Linked DNA regions of Arabidopsis thaliana. The protein of the gene in region 1 interacts with the protein of each later gene in a pairwise test. Each region holds a gene or a part of one and is shown on either strand. Other genes may lie near its edges.

Region 1 (8,126 bases):
CTCCTCTTGTCTGGTTGTTTCCGAGCTGCAGCAACTGCTTTCTCTACCTTTCTCTTCCACTTCTGGCAAATTTTCCGACGAACCATCCATTATTACTACGCCTGAATCTCTCTTTCAAACACAGTCTTCGAGTTCTGAAACTTGCTCAAATACTCAAAAGGAGCCTTCTGTATCTCTCTCTGTGGATATTCTCGTGCTTGAATCGCATTACATTTATGAGAACCCTTATTGTTCGATCTGATTCTTGTGGAACATTTTCTCGGGGGAAAAAAGTATTTTCTGAGAAAAGAAGAGAAAATGCAGTGAGTGGGTCTGTGAGTGAAGAGGTTCTCTTGCTCTGTCTTCCTCGATCTCTCTGCATCTTCAACATAAGATTTAAAAACACCAACTTTATCTTCTCTCAGTAACCAGGTGATTATTTTAATCAACGGGTTTAATTCTAAACTAATCCAAATCAATGACGACAAGATTTAAATTTATACTATAGTTTACTAATTAACTGTTTCTTTTTCTATTATGGGAATCGTGTAATTGACGGATCCATCTACGATGAGATTTGATAACTATAAAATCATAAAATGACGTATTCAATAAGATTATATATTTTTTACAAATTACGTAACCATATTAAATTAGGAATTTGGAACTAAAGAAGTATAAAAATAAAAATAAAGTCGTATTCATCAAATGATATGCAAGTATGCAACGGTACAATACCTCTATAACAGTTTGTATTACTATTACTTATCCCATTTATTGTCTATTTTTACAACTTCCACAAGATATATTTGGTGTCAGTATTTTAAATTTTGTTCATTTATATTAACACACAACCTTGAAAATTCCTCTACTTTTTTTTACGGTTCAATATTACTATATACAATTTTTGTTTATATAGTGCAGCGGATCGGATCGAAGATAGTTTAAATTTCTAAAAAAGTTTACAAATTTCAAAAATGTTACTCCGTAAAGCATTCACTCCCTAACAATGAATGCGTCCTCTCTTCAAAGATAACACACACATTCAATACGTGAAGTGAAATTCAATAACTCAATAAGTATCAATAAAAATTTTCTTCTATGTTTTCATTTACATTTAACAAGTTTGATAAATGAATGGTATTAGCCGTATAGGCTTCCATAATGACCACAATTTGGTCCATTCTTAAGGATAAAGGTAGAAAGTGATGCTTTGTCTTTGGTTCTAACCCAACCCAAATCTCCAACGTTTTCCTTGTCTTTGCGTGTGTATTACGATCGAGTGGTCACAACACGATTTTTTAATATGAACTGTAGCTTCATAATTATCTTTATTTATCTCGAATTTCATAGATTTTTTTAAAAAAATTTACTTGTGAAAATAGTTTCAACCTATACTTTTTGCTTAGAAACTAGGAGAAGATTTTAACATTTTCAAAATCCCTAAACTTTTCTTCTTGATTGCATAATTTATACTATATGTTTGCCAAAAATTTCTCATTTTTCTTGTTTTTTCCAATTCTATAACTTCTTTTCAAATATATAAGATATAGCCATAGTTGAATTATGGAATTTTTCAAGTAACGTAATGTCGTGATTAAATAGGAATATGTAGATGTTGTCGAGCATTTCAAACAAAGATAATGTTTTGTCCTTTGTTCTCTATCAGTTGTCGTATTGCACGTCGTTGTTTCCCTTACAAAACAACCCTAAAAATAAGGTCAAAACTCAAAACTGTTCCACCTTTTGTATAACAAACGCAACACGATGACAAAAGTATCTATTTAATAATACTTGAACGACTTAAGTATCATGATTTTGTCATTGCGTCTATAATCATACCGAGAGTTTGAGTTTTACACAATACTAAAGTGATAGTTAATTAATCATATATAAAAGAATATTATCTACTCTACGTACTCATAATATTCTTACAAATATTTCATCAACTTTCAATTTCTCCTTACGCTATAATGCTATATCATTATTTTTAACAAGAACATTACTTTCAACTTACACTACCCAATATCCTTAATCAAAAAGTTCTCCAAAAAACATATCCCATTTCTTTGAGCTATATAAACCATGTTATTTTTATATTTATTTGTTTACTTCCCAACTGCACTACAAAAGTTTAGAGATTATGATAATTACAAAATAAGAACTATTGAAAATTTTCAAATACGAACTAGAAAAGTCTAATTACCACGGACCACGGTGCATAACGTTCATTGATGGACCGAAGCAAACCAGTTGGTTCTTCATAAGTTCTTACTTATTGCTTACGTTTGATTACATCATTTCATTGGACTATCATCCATGGGCCTAATAAAACTTCATTATGGGCCATCTAGTGCAAACCCGTTTGGAAAAAGTACTTTACGGTGAGATCAAAATCGCTCTTCTCATATTATTGTACGTACACCAAGCTAAGCTAACATAATATTTTATCAAGAATCTTTTTTCTTTATCCTTTTATCCCTTGAAATAATATCTTCAAGCGTGATCCAATAAAATCTCACAACAAAAACCGAAACACGTATACAAAAGATACATTTCAAGACTTAATCCATTAGCTGTTCTTTCCGGCTTTTCGGAATTTGACTCCATCAAAAATGAGAAACCAAAATACAATTCAAAACGAGAAAGCAAATAAAATGTGACATGTGATATATGCATGTGATATCCCAAGAGCTTGGCGATAAATACAACTCAGTTAGCTACATTATGATATTATCAGGGACTAGTGTCCAAACTATATATTATTAAAAATTTGATTTATACCACCAATCCCCCGATCCCATCGAGAGATTTAATTTGATCAGACAATAATCGTGTATTCATTCTCTTATATTATTGCACTAAGAGCTCACATGAGCTGCTAGCTGTATATCAATTAGAATCTACTTGATTATTGTTAAAAAATTAGGAGCAAGAGATCAAATCTTATATATCTATAACTAGTCGTAGTAGATGGAGTTTTGGGAAGTGACCCGGTAACTAATAGTATGGAGAACGAGGTGGGATGGATGAATGAAGCGTCGAAGGATAGCAGCAACAATGGTGAATCTTTCATTGAAATACAAATCAACAAAGCAGTCAGAACCACAGGATTGAGCATCTCTTCTTCGCCATCTCCCGAGAACGAAATGCAGACGACGACAGCAATCTTCTCATCGGCCACTAGTTGCTTCTCAGCATACAGCAGCGTGACGAGGTTGATGATGAAAGTGGGGTGTTTGAGTATAGTGGGAGTCATAAGAGAGAAAGTAAACGTGGGAGAGAGGTGGGTCCTCCAAGTTATACAGAGACGACGAAACAAGAGCCCCCTACGATACTACTACGAAGGCAGCATGAGTAATAATAAGGATGAAGCATTAACGGACGATTCCCTCAAGGCAGCTATCGCTTACTGCAATGCCTCATCTCTCTCCCCTCTACAAACTTGATTATTATTATTATAATACCTTTTCTACAGAATCATGTTGGAACCAACCAATATTTGTTGATGTGTCCAAATCCTAGGGCATCATCAACTATATCATTGTTTTTTTTTCTTTTTATCTTTTTGCTTTTATTTCCGTTTAAGAATATATTTTATAGTTGTGATCCTCATTATCCCAAATCCCAAGTCAGGTCAAACATAGTTTTGAGGCTTGGTCAGCTGATATTTTTACAAGTTTGTTGTAAAAACTTGTAAACTTGAGTATTTTAATTAAATGAAAATAAACCATAAATAAATGAAGTTCTAAACTTGAGTAATAATAAAAACAGAATAAAAAAAAAGGTATGTGGGGAAGTTTTGAAGGGGCTTTTGGGCTTAGAAAAGGAAAGAAGTAAAGGAAGAAGCGGCGCACGTGGCAGGCAGTCACGAGAGTCACGAGAGATCGAGAGAAGTCTTTGATTCTCTTCTCTCATCAAATCAAAATATCATCTCAGAGACTCCGATTCTCTCTGTTTCTCCTCCACTTTTCAACCCAAGTCCACCCTCAAAATTCTCAGAATGATTGCTCGGATCCTTGCCGCCTTAGCCGATTCCATGGAGATGCCGGTGGCTGCCGGTGGTGGATCAGTGCTCGGTACCATCAAAATCGCTGTGATGCCAATTGCAAAGGTATTCACCATGTGCTTCTTGGGTCTTCTCATGGCCTCCAAGTACGTTAACATCTTGCCTCCCTCTGGCCGCAAACTCTTGAACGGGGTAATTAATTCTCCACACTAGACTTTTTCACTTTCTCTATAAATCCAAAAAAAGCAAACTTTGAATGAAACTGTCTCTCCTTTTCACACAGTTGGTCTTCTCGCTTTTGCTTCCCTGCTTGATCTTTTCCCAGCTCGGACAAGCCGTCACTCTCCAAAAAATGCTTCAGTGGTATTTGTTTCCTTCTTTGTCCCCCCTAGTCTCTCTCTAGTCCTTATATAGATCATCATATTCTTTTCCATCTTTCAGGTGGTTCATTCCCGTTAACGTCGTTCTTGGCACCATCTCTGGCTCCATAATCGGTTTCATCGTTGCTTCCATCGTTCGTCCGCCTTACCCTTACTTCAAGTTTACAATCATACAAATTGGAGTTGGTTAGACCCCTTTTTTTCCCTACCCTCGCTTTTCTGCTCTGACACTAGTCTCACTTTATGTGCCTTGTTTGTTTCAGGCAACATTGGCAATGTGCCTCTTGTTTTACTTGCGGCTCTTTGTAGGGACACTTCCAACCCTTTTGGTGACTCCGAAAAATGTAGCATTGATGGCACTGCTTATATCTCCTTTGGTCAATGGGTACTCTTTTTTCTCTTTTTAACTGCTTCTATGCTGTAACTATTATTATACCTACTAGAATCAGTCCATTAGCTGCTTCAGTTTCTGTCTCTTATGTAACAGTGATACAGTTTCTTGTCTTCTGCTTTTTTTTTCTGTTTGGATGAAGAGGAGCTTGATGTATGAGGAGTATCCTCATTGAAACTATTTTGTATAGGATCTTTAGTTCCAATGTACTGTTTGTCATCAATGTCTTATGGGAATGGATATTATTTCTCTCTGTGGGACTTCAATTAACCACAAGGTTTACTTTTTATATCAGGTTGGTGCCATCATCCTCTATACATATGTGTACCAGATGTTTGCTCCTCCTCCAGAAGGGTTTGATGCTGAAGAAGAAAATCTTGCTTTAAAAACCCTTCCAGTAGATGCTGCTCCAGAGCAAGTCCCCTTGCTTACTCAGAATTTTCCCAAGGACTTTTCGCCGACTCAAGATCTTTTGCCTGTACAGAGCACCGAACCTAGGGGAAGAGGGGTTTCAAGGAAAGGCAAGGTGGGACTGCAATTATGGAATCTTTATTCTATGTTTCAGGAGTATTTTACCTGATATAAGCTGGTTCTTACGAAACTTTTTATCTTTTGCTCCGTGATGTAGATTGCACAGATCTTTGTTTTCCTCTATGAGAAGCTGAAACTGAAGCAAATTGTCCAGCCTGCAATTGTTGCTTCGGTAAGTATCTCGTCTTTTCTATTCCCCTTTTTTATCTGACAATCTAAAGATCAAGAGACCGTGCGATTGCCTTTACCATGTAACTAAACTAGACGTGTTTTTGTTAACTTCAGATCCTTGCCATGATACTCGGAGCAATACCTTTCACAAAGAAGTTGATATTCACAAATGGTGCACCTCTATTCTTCTTCACAGACAGCTGCATGATTCTTGGGTAAGCACACTCTTTATTTGTCTTCTGTGAAGCAGCTGCAAATTAATTAGTTAATATATGTAAAACCTTTGGCTATCAGGGACGCGATGATACCGTGTATCTTACTGGCACTGGGGGGAAATCTCATTAACGGTAGGTTTGGTGGTTGCTTTCTTTTCATACTGACTTAGTTTTTAGCCCCATCCATCACATGGATCTTATTGGTTCCTTGGGTAAATTTTAGGACCAGGAAGTTCAAAACTTGGTTTCAAGACAACAGCAGCTATTATAATTGGACGGTTGGTGTTAGTGCCACCAGTAGGACTAGGAATCGTGACAGTAGCAGACAAACTTGGGTTCCTTCCTGCTGATGATAAGATGTTCCGATTTGTGTTACTCCTTCAGCACACAATGCCTACATCAGTGCTCTCAGGAGCTGTTGCCAACCTTAGAGGCTGTGGAAGGGAATCAGCTGCTGTGCTCTTCTGGGTCCACATTTTCGCCATCTTCTCAATGGCTGGATGGATGGTACTCTACATTAACATACTCTTCTGAATTCTCTTCTTATTGACACATTCATCTGCTACTATACAATACTTCTGTGTAAATACAGTGGCATCTCCTATGTGCCTGAACCAACCAAAATTCTGATTTTTTTTTTTTCCTTTCCTGTGTAAATGTTAGTTTATAACTCTTTTCAACTAATGAGCACTCCCTTTTTCTCTGGATATATCAAGAATATTATTTGAAACACGCGACAAACAGCACAACTTTAGTTAAACGTCAATTAAAACTAATGTGTGGAAACAGTACCAAGTCGATAAACAGCAGACGAAACTCAAGTATCTTTTAAGGGTCTTAAAAAAATACAGATTCTGGAGGCACCTACGGATCTGGGCATCAGTCAGAAAAACGGCAGCCATCTTCTGGTTCTGTTCTCCCTTTGGCTATGAGAGATTGCTATACCCCTCCTGTGTGGGCTGCTTAGCCACATTGCCAACACAACGCCCACCAGACTCACAACTGGTGCAGCAGCCAGAAACAGCCATCTTCCTCTGCTGACTCTGCTCACACCAGACTCGCTCTCACCTCTCTCTACATATTCCTCTTCCCCCGATTCTGTACCATCATCAGAGGAGGAGCTATCCTCGCTCACATCCAGCACATTCCGCTTTCCCTCCTCGTAATCTTTATCATCTGTCGGGAGCTCATAACGGCAGAGTGGGCAGGAGTTACGGGCACTCAGCCAAGGTACGATACAATGAGCATGGTATAGATGTAGACACGGAAGCTGCGTGGTTTCATTGCGGAGGGAGAAAAGCTCCTTGCAGATCGCACAAACTAGGCCCTTCATTACATGCTCCTCTGCAATGATAACCCTTGGAAGATTCCTGACGCATGAGACAGATGCAGGTGGTGCACCTCTTCTTGAATTGTCAGACTCAGCAAGTTGCTCAAGCAGTTCATCAAAGCCTCTCTCATCAAGATAATCCCCAACATTTGCAGCATAGGGGGAGAAGTCCAAATCCTCCAAACCAGTGAAGATGTTGCGAGATAACGAATGCCTCCTCTCTATAATTCTTTGACGAAAGCTTCTCTCTAACTCAGGTGAATCAAACCGAGTCATGGAGCTGTAGCTCTCACTTGGACTTGCCAAATAGTTTCTATAGCGTGTTCCTGCAACCCCAGAAGGACCCGCTCCTTCCTCCCATTCCCTGTCTTCTTCGTCTGAGTTCCACTGGTTAAGACCAGCGCGCATCGGGTCTATATCAGTGTCAAAGTCAATGTCGCTCCTGTCATCTGGTTGAACAAAGATATCGGCATGCCTGTCCGTGGAAGCATCAGACTCTCCACCGTAAGCACTAAAAGAAATGGTATCGTTATCAGCATGGGGAAATCTGTAGAGGCTAAAGCTAGCGTTTGATTCGGTTTCGCCAAAGTTGTCAAAATCATCACTTTCAGATTCTGAGAAGAGTCTCCATCTTGTCGAGCCGCTTGGAGTGGTATGGGAGCTAGTTCGCAGGTCATCACGTAGATCCTCACTAGCTTGAACCGTTGAAAGGCTTTGTCTTGCAATGCTTATCAAGTGTGTGAATTGTTGGGAGGAAAGATCACCGACACCGACAGACTCAGAGCTGTCGTGCCTAGTTGTTCTTCTCCTCCTCCTCATCCTCCTCCTCCTAATTGTCTGCCGCCGAGCCAAGGGAGGCGCGGGAGTGCCGAAATCTTCAAGCAACAAAAACTTACAGTCGACACATAAGCTGAAGATTTCAAGATCATCGGAAGCAGATTGAACGACTCTTCCGCACAGATTACAGGCAGACGATGGGATTGAATTGCTGCTGATATCCATGGGATGACCATTAGAAGGTCCTTGTGATTCCATCGGATCCAAAGGCGGCAGCTTTGAGGTCTGAAAAGGGGCATACATATAAAATCATGACCAAGGAGGGTTAGATCAGACCGGATAC
Region 2 (7,044 bases), on another chromosome or scaffold:
TTGTGTTTGATCTTCCGTTGGTAGATGATTCAGGCAGTCCAGTGATTAGCCGTGCAATTATAGGTTGCAAGAGGGTTACATATATGCTTGATAAGCCTACGTTACACAGTCTCGAAGCATTAGATGGTGATGGTAATAATATCGGGACAAGGCGAGACCATAATGGTGAAAGCGAGTTGGTTTCATATGATGTTGTGAGGAAGATAGAGGAAAAAAACACCCCGGATTCACAGTTTCTGAGTTATCATTCTGGAAACATGCCCCGAAAGGCAGTTTCTTTATCAAGCACAAATTCATTGAGTTCTTCTTCTTCTGAGCAATCTTCTTCCTCGTGGTCTCCATCTTCATCAGTTTCTCAAGGAACACTTCAATTCACTATGAAAGACAACAAGACGCCTCATTTTGTTTTCTCACTGGATGATCAGAAAGAGATCTATGTAGCTAGCTTAAGCACTACTAGTGTTGGGTCAGGTTTCGACCGTAGTTCTCTAGACTATTCGTATTTGATCCATTTGAAGAAAGGTCGCGGATCTGAGCCGCAGCATTTGGTTGGTAAACTAAAGGTATCAACTTTGTTTTCTGTCTCGTCCACGAATGAAAAAACTGTAGAGAGACAGTTTGTTCTATTCAGCAGTGGTGGAAATCCGCAGTTACCGTGCCACAAAGATATTAGGAAAAACAGAGGATTGCCTAAGAAAGTCGTTGATGCTCTCAAAAGCACCAAACGCACTTCAAGGCAAAGAAGTATCTCAAGATTCAGTAGAACAAGCTCCATACCGGATTTTTGTTCTTGGGAGCCATTTCAAGAACATGACAGCGATCTTGAACCCATAAGTTTACTGGATAATGACCTTCCACCAAATCTTGAAACCTCAGCTGTTGTTGTGAGAGAACAGTTTCCAGTGGAAGAAGAAGAAGAAGAAGAAGTCGAAAAAGTTGGAGGCTGGGGCATGAAGTTTCTCAAGAAAATTCCCTTAGCTCGAACCAAGGATGCTTCTAAATGTTCTAAGCATTCCACAAGCATAGATGTTGTGATTCCTTTAGGGATTCACGGAGGGCCGAGAAATAGAAACGGTGGTCCTTCGAGCTTGATTCAGAGATGGAAATCCGGTGGATGCTGTGATTGCTCTGGATGGGACTTGGGTTGCCCCTTAACCGTCCTTAAAGGCCAAGCGCGAAAAGACCAAAGTGAAGGCCAATGCAATCTTTTTGAGCTTTTCACAGAGGTAGCATTCAAGATCCAGTTACCACTTCCTTAACCATACATCATAGATTTCAAAAAATGGAAACTTTCTTGCATTCAAGATAACTCATCAACTAAAAAATCAGTCTTGGTCATATTGACTCTGAAATTCGATTGATTCGTTGTGTGTTTTCGTTTCAGGGATTGATGCAGGGAAGTCCTGGACTAAGGATCATGAATGTTCGAGATGGTCTCTACTTTGTCCAGTCTCAAGCAAAGATATCAGTTTTGCAATCTTTTTCAATTGCTTTAGCATACATTCATAGCCAAAGCCAGAGACTCCGGCCATGGTCGTCAAAGAAGTGTACAGAAGCTTAACTAGCAAAAGAAAGGATTGCACAAAGTAAGATGGGCAAAACTCAGCCTTCATAGTTTTTAGTTGGGTTCTTGAGTTAACAATATCTACAAATTAGTAGATATTATTTTTATTTTTTTATTTTTTGGCTTTCTGTTTAAATCTATAGAAAGTATATCATTGTCTCTTTACTGGAATCATATGTGGGCTTTGGTATTGTTTTTCAAAGAGTTGTGTAAAATGTAAATTCTGACTTTTGATTTTCACCTTCATGATTTTTTTTTTTTTTGCTAAATTTGTTAATATCATTAGAATGAACAATGTGATTTTACAGAGCAAAACCAAACCAAAGCAATCTTGGCAAAAAAGTAAAACAAGATTACAATAGAGTTACGTAAGATTTGGGTGGATTAACGGATCCAAAGAAGCATTAACGACCGCCAACGCGCCCGGTGCCTTCTCGAGGTGATGATGTTTCGAATCTCGCGGTCAATGAACTTGAAGATGAGGGCCGGAGCAAGACGCTGAAGATTGTGAAGCAGATTATTTCGCTGCCTCCAAATATTGTAGACCACATGATTTCGCTGCCTCCAAATTTTCACCTTCATGATATTCTGGTTTTGTAAGAGTTTCTTCTGCACATAATTTTCGACTTTATAACTCATTTTTATGACCTATTAATAGTCACCTCTGAGCAATTGATTTTCACAAAATCAGAAACTGGAAAAATCTAAGCAAAATCTCTTAGAAACTGGAAATATGTCTGAAGCTCACAAAAGATTGTCGTCTCTACTTAAAACACTCAAAACACCAACTATTTCGCGTTTCGTTGAAGACAGATACATAACCAGCAAAAGTGATAAATGATCTTCAGACAATGGCGTTAGCAGCACTAGCAATCCTTGGCCAGAGATCCGCACACTCTTTCCCAATAGGTCCAGTAATTGCAGAACCTGAAAACCAAAACAAACCACCAACATGTTTCAGAAAACAATGTACTGCCAAGATATGTTTGACAAAGAACTAATGGAATAAACAAACTAATACCTTTCATTTCTCCCTTAGGGTTCACAATCACTCCAGCATTATCTACGATCCAAGAACCGAATCAGTACCAATCTCATGATCATAAACTTCAACTCGAGAAATTGTTGAGGTATGCAAAATTACCTTCAAAGTACATGAAAACACCGTCCTTTCGGCGCCATGGCTTACGTTGCCTAACAATCACAGCAGGAAGAACCTTTTTCCTGAGGTCTGGTTTACCTTTCTTGACAGTGGCCATAACCATGTCACCAACACAAGCAGAAGGTAACCGATTGAGACGACCTTTGATTCCTTTAACAGAGATGATGTAAAGGTTCTTAGCACCAGTGTTGTCTGCACAGTTCACTGTGGCTGCAACGGGCAGACCAAGTGACATCCTGAATTTGTTACCAGACGTTCCTCCACGTCCTAATCAAATCAAACAACAAAACACAAGCACCATTAGAACAATGCTCAAAAACATTTACCTTTTCTGTTTTCAATAACATCAAGTCTCAAATTCAATATTTTTGATATCAAATGTTGTTAATGAGCTGTCTAGATGAATACATCAGATCATATTACTTGGAATTGAAGAAATCGAGATCAAAGGTTCAAACTTTCGAGCATTCTATACTGAGAGTAGTAGATTGATTTCAATTATTATTAAATCTAACAGCCATGGAAGCTTCAAAAACAAATTATACTAAATTGCAACAGCTACGAAAGAAGAAGGCTTGGAATCGAAAAAGACATACCTCGCTTCGACATTTTCGACGGCTCAAGCTCTAGGGCTTCTGATGTTTGGCGTCTGATCGAAGTAGAAAAATGAAGGAGAAGAAAGGATTAGGGTTTAAACCTATGGAAAAGGCCTTTTAGGCCCATGATAGCCCATGAACCATTTTAATCATGAAATGAACAATACCAAATTCTTCTTATTAGTCTTTTTTTTTTTTTTGTAACATCTTCTCTTATTTATATAACTTTGAAACATAGTTTACAAACACATTAATTATACAAATCCCCAAACTGAATAACAAGACGAAAGAAGCTAAATTACACAATGCTTTTCTTCAAAAAGCTTTATTCGCTAACCAAACACACACATTCTTAGTCTTGTTTGCGAGAATTGGCCCTCTCTTTGGCAATTTGTTCAAATAAACTTCCATCAAAGCAACCTCTCACAGCTTCTTTAGATAGGAAACCATCTTCGTCCTTAGCAAGAATATAGAGTAGTATCCATTCAACTTTGTTTGAAAGCCTGCCATAACCAACACAACAAATTTAGCAGATTTCGTTAGGATTTAGTGTTAACTTATTACCGTGTATGTAAAATCAACTAATAAATTTCATTCAAAAAAATCAACTAATAACCAATAATGTTTTTAGTACTAACCATCCAAAAGGATCGATTGCCATTCGATTTCCCTCGGTTACATTCCAAACCTCTTTAAATGATAACTTATCTTTAACCGTTAGCGCGTATTTGCTAAATATGTTCTCGAGGTTAACTGGGACATACCTATAAACAATCGCAATTTTACAAAATTGAGTATCATGAAAATTCTATTTAAAATTATTGGATATTATATTTTACATATATGTTAATGTTACCTTCCTTCGGTGTCATAGGTGCTCGAATCACTCCCATGCTTGGCTTTGTGTATGTTGTCGATATAAACCGGCAATAATGGTGATGGCACCCAACTCTTTTTACATAAAATTGATCACAACATAAATTAAAATCACAAAATAATAATAAAATTCAAATTAAATTCGAAGGGTCTCTGGATTATTTTCCATACCGGAAGTGTAACGTAGCTGAACGCTAAGTTTATGAGTAAGGTCCAAAAGATAGAGGAAATTGGGTTGAAACCAAGGTCACGAAATCCTGCAATTTTTATACAATTATTTGAATTTTTTTTTTTTCTGAAGATTGAAGTCTTTGAAGAGACTATAACAAGTAATAATTACCCTTATAAGTCTCCCAAGGATAGACGATTCCATCGTCGTTTTGGTCGAAGAAAGCAACATGTTGTTGCATAACACTCATTCCTTTGCTATCGTGACCTTCTGTTCCATTCGGATGCTCTGTATCTGGAGCTGCTAATGCTCTTGCCATGTCTGTTTTTCATTTTTGTACGTTAGATTATTATGTATCTTTTTCAAGAAAATTACATTTTTTCTTTAAGTTATTGTGACTTGTGTTGAACACTACAAATCTTGAAAGGTACACTTAATTTGAAACATGTTCATGTCCTCACCATAACTTTTAAAAATGGATAATATACGATTTGTCATGTTAATAGTTGGATGTTTTTGTAGTTTCATTTAACGTAACCACTTAATTTCCCGCTTGTTACACATTAAAATCATAAATTTGGACATTCACACTTACATGGTTTTGGTAATGTTTCCTCCAAATCGTTCCGTACTTTTCGCTGACTGGTGACCGGAGCTAACGGTGCCGTCGTGGCCAAAGCCTCTGCCTCTCCTGCCATTCTCTCTCTCTTACTCTTTTACAATCTCGCTGTCTTGTGTAATTGTTAATAATTGATAATGCTCTCTGTTTCTTCTTATGCAAAAGACGTACACATTGATGTTTTGGTGTTCGTGATCCTTTATAAGTAAAACGATATAACAAGGATGATGTGAATAGGGACACGTGTCAGGAAGTAGTGGTGTAAACATTTAAAAGAAAACGAAGACGACAAGCAATATGATCACATATAATATGGTCCATCCACGTGGTTATTTTCAATTTGCTAAAATGTAATTGTACTTTTGTTCACGAGGAGGACGGTGGAAAAAACCAACGTGCTTATTCTATGAGTTTAGGAAGAGACTCAAAAGATAGCATATGCGAGCAAAACATGATTGACTGGGAGCCCATAACATCTCAGAATGATCCATCCTCTTTCATTTTGTACATAACACTCCCATATTATATGAAACCGTAGTTGTTTGCAAGAACTGATTCATCCTAATTCTAATTAGCACATATATACTTAACTATGAGTATCAACAAACCGACCGGTTGAATACATATTAATTATGTAGACATGTAGTGATGATCAATTGATCATATACCCTAATTTGAACTTTTTTGCTCGTTATGATTTAGGAGCTAACGTTGCCGACGTGCTCAATGTGTGAAGTTTTAGGATTGAAATTTATTGATTACAAAAGAAAAAAAAAGGACGAGTACTGTGACCACAATATGTGGTCACATGCACGTGGCTGGAACCATTTGCTGATTTGCGTGTGCGGTGGAAATTAAAAAGCGGGATTAAGAGATACCAATAGATTGATGATTTCGTATAAGTGATAAGCAAAAATAATAAAATCATAACTTAACTAAAGTATTTAAATTACAAAACCTACAAACATTTATGTATTACCATTTTTTGGCCGTATCTCAGTGTGTTGATTGGTTACATTTTTTTTTTTATCACATGATGATTGTATACATTGAAAAGTAAAAAGAGTGAATGGTACTTGTACAAAGCTCTTACGTAACATGCTGCATTCAATGCCAACTTTTGATTAGGTTTATTTTTGGTTTACCAAATTATATCCATAAGTTTATCTGATAACGTTTTTTTTTGTTGTCAAGATATTCATTAACGTATAATATTGCTCCCCGAATTCAATTTTAAAGCATGTTGACAAAGAAAAAAAACAACAACACCGAGCCTCTTTCTTGAGACTTTCCAAGTTAAGTGATTACTTAGTCCAATTTTGTGTATGATTTATCTGATGGTTTCGAAGAGAATTTGGGGAGAGATATCCACCGCTGATTGAATCGAAACCGAGCACAACCGTTGATTTTGATCCGGAACTTGCTTATCTTCACTCTCCTTGTCATCTCCTTGCATCTTTGTTTCATCATCAATTTACCTTTTGGTACCTTCACAAACTCCTTTACGTATTTGCATCTTCCGTTTTCTATATAGAAATTAGAGAATGGAAAAGAAAAAATGATAATATAACTTTTTTATATATACAAACCTAAGTAAGGTTAAAGGTAACAAAAAAAAAGGATACCATTTTGAGCAGCTTCTTCTTCTAGGCTTGTGTTATTTAGCAGCTACGTATATAATGTAAATTTACAAACATACGTTATTTTGTTTATGAAATGTCAACTATTGTTGTAGATTCGTGTGTGTACGTAATATATGATAAAAATACCTTAACTAAAGTTTCCATTCTTTTTCTCATCCGTCTCTGTATGTACCCTCTCGAGCACTATTTAAACAATACGAGGTTGAAAATTTTCAATTACAAGAACACAAAATCTATTATATTTTATTTGAAAAACTAGAACTAATGTACCTTAATATGGTACTTAGCGCATGCGTAGAAATTTAGCAAGTTCCAAACCGTTTTGTCCAGTCTCTTTCCTTCAATGTGCCGTGAAGTAATATCTGCAATGAGAATTGTTTGAACTTTGACATTTAAGAATACTAATTAAAGATGT

The links.
Region 2: the proteins of AT5G01990 (region 1) and RD20 interact in a two-hybrid assay, tested with the Arabidopsis thaliana proteins (one large-scale study listed by BioGRID).

What each region holds. Positions count from the first base shown.
Region 1 is NC_003076.8:375,457-383,582, reverse strand, and holds AT5G01990 (Auxin efflux carrier family protein), read left to right. Parts: upstream 1-3,671; 5' UTR 3,672-3,982; coding exon 3,983-4,180; intron 4,181-4,271; coding exon 4,272-4,351; intron 4,352-4,429; coding exon 4,430-4,554; intron 4,555-4,631; coding exon 4,632-4,753; intron 4,754-5,054; coding exon 5,055-5,285; intron 5,286-5,387; coding exon 5,388-5,462; intron 5,463-5,575; coding exon 5,576-5,676; intron 5,677-5,755; coding exon 5,756-5,808; intron 5,809-5,899; coding exon 5,900-6,210; 3' UTR 6,211-6,352; downstream 6,353-8,126. Other genes in the region: ROPGEF7 (RHO guanyl-nucleotide exchange factor 7), read right to left, coding at 1-90; AT5G02000 (uncharacterized protein), read left to right, coding at 2,988-3,428; AT5G01980 (RING/U-box superfamily protein), read right to left, coding at 6,560-8,041. UniProt on the Arabidopsis thaliana protein: Involved in cellular auxin homeostasis by regulating auxin metabolism. Regulates intracellular auxin accumulation at the endoplasmic reticulum and thus auxin availability for nuclear auxin signaling.
Region 2 is NC_003071.7:14,141,310-14,148,353, forward strand, and holds RD20 (Caleosin-related family protein), read right to left. Parts: upstream 5,247-7,044; 5' UTR 5,066-5,246; coding exon 4,963-5,065; intron 4,689-4,962; coding exon 4,539-4,688; intron 4,456-4,538; coding exon 4,370-4,455; intron 4,274-4,369; coding exon 4,179-4,273; intron 4,087-4,178; coding exon 3,961-4,086; intron 3,826-3,960; coding exon 3,675-3,825; 3' UTR 3,522-3,674; downstream 1-3,521. Other genes in the region: AT2G33360 (cadherin EGF LAG seven-pass G-type receptor, putative (DUF3527)), read left to right, coding at 1-1,226, 1,385-1,561; AT2G33370 (Ribosomal protein L14p/L23e family protein), read right to left, coding at 2,409-2,491, 2,586-2,627, 2,709-2,993, 3,323-3,335; arpc2b (actin-related protein C2B), read right to left, coding at 6,295-6,512, 6,612-6,654, 6,756-6,812, 6,900-6,991. UniProt on the Arabidopsis thaliana protein: Probable calcium-binding peroxygenase. May be involved in the degradation of storage lipid in oil bodies, in abiotic stress-related signaling pathway and in drought tolerance through stomatal control under water deficit conditions.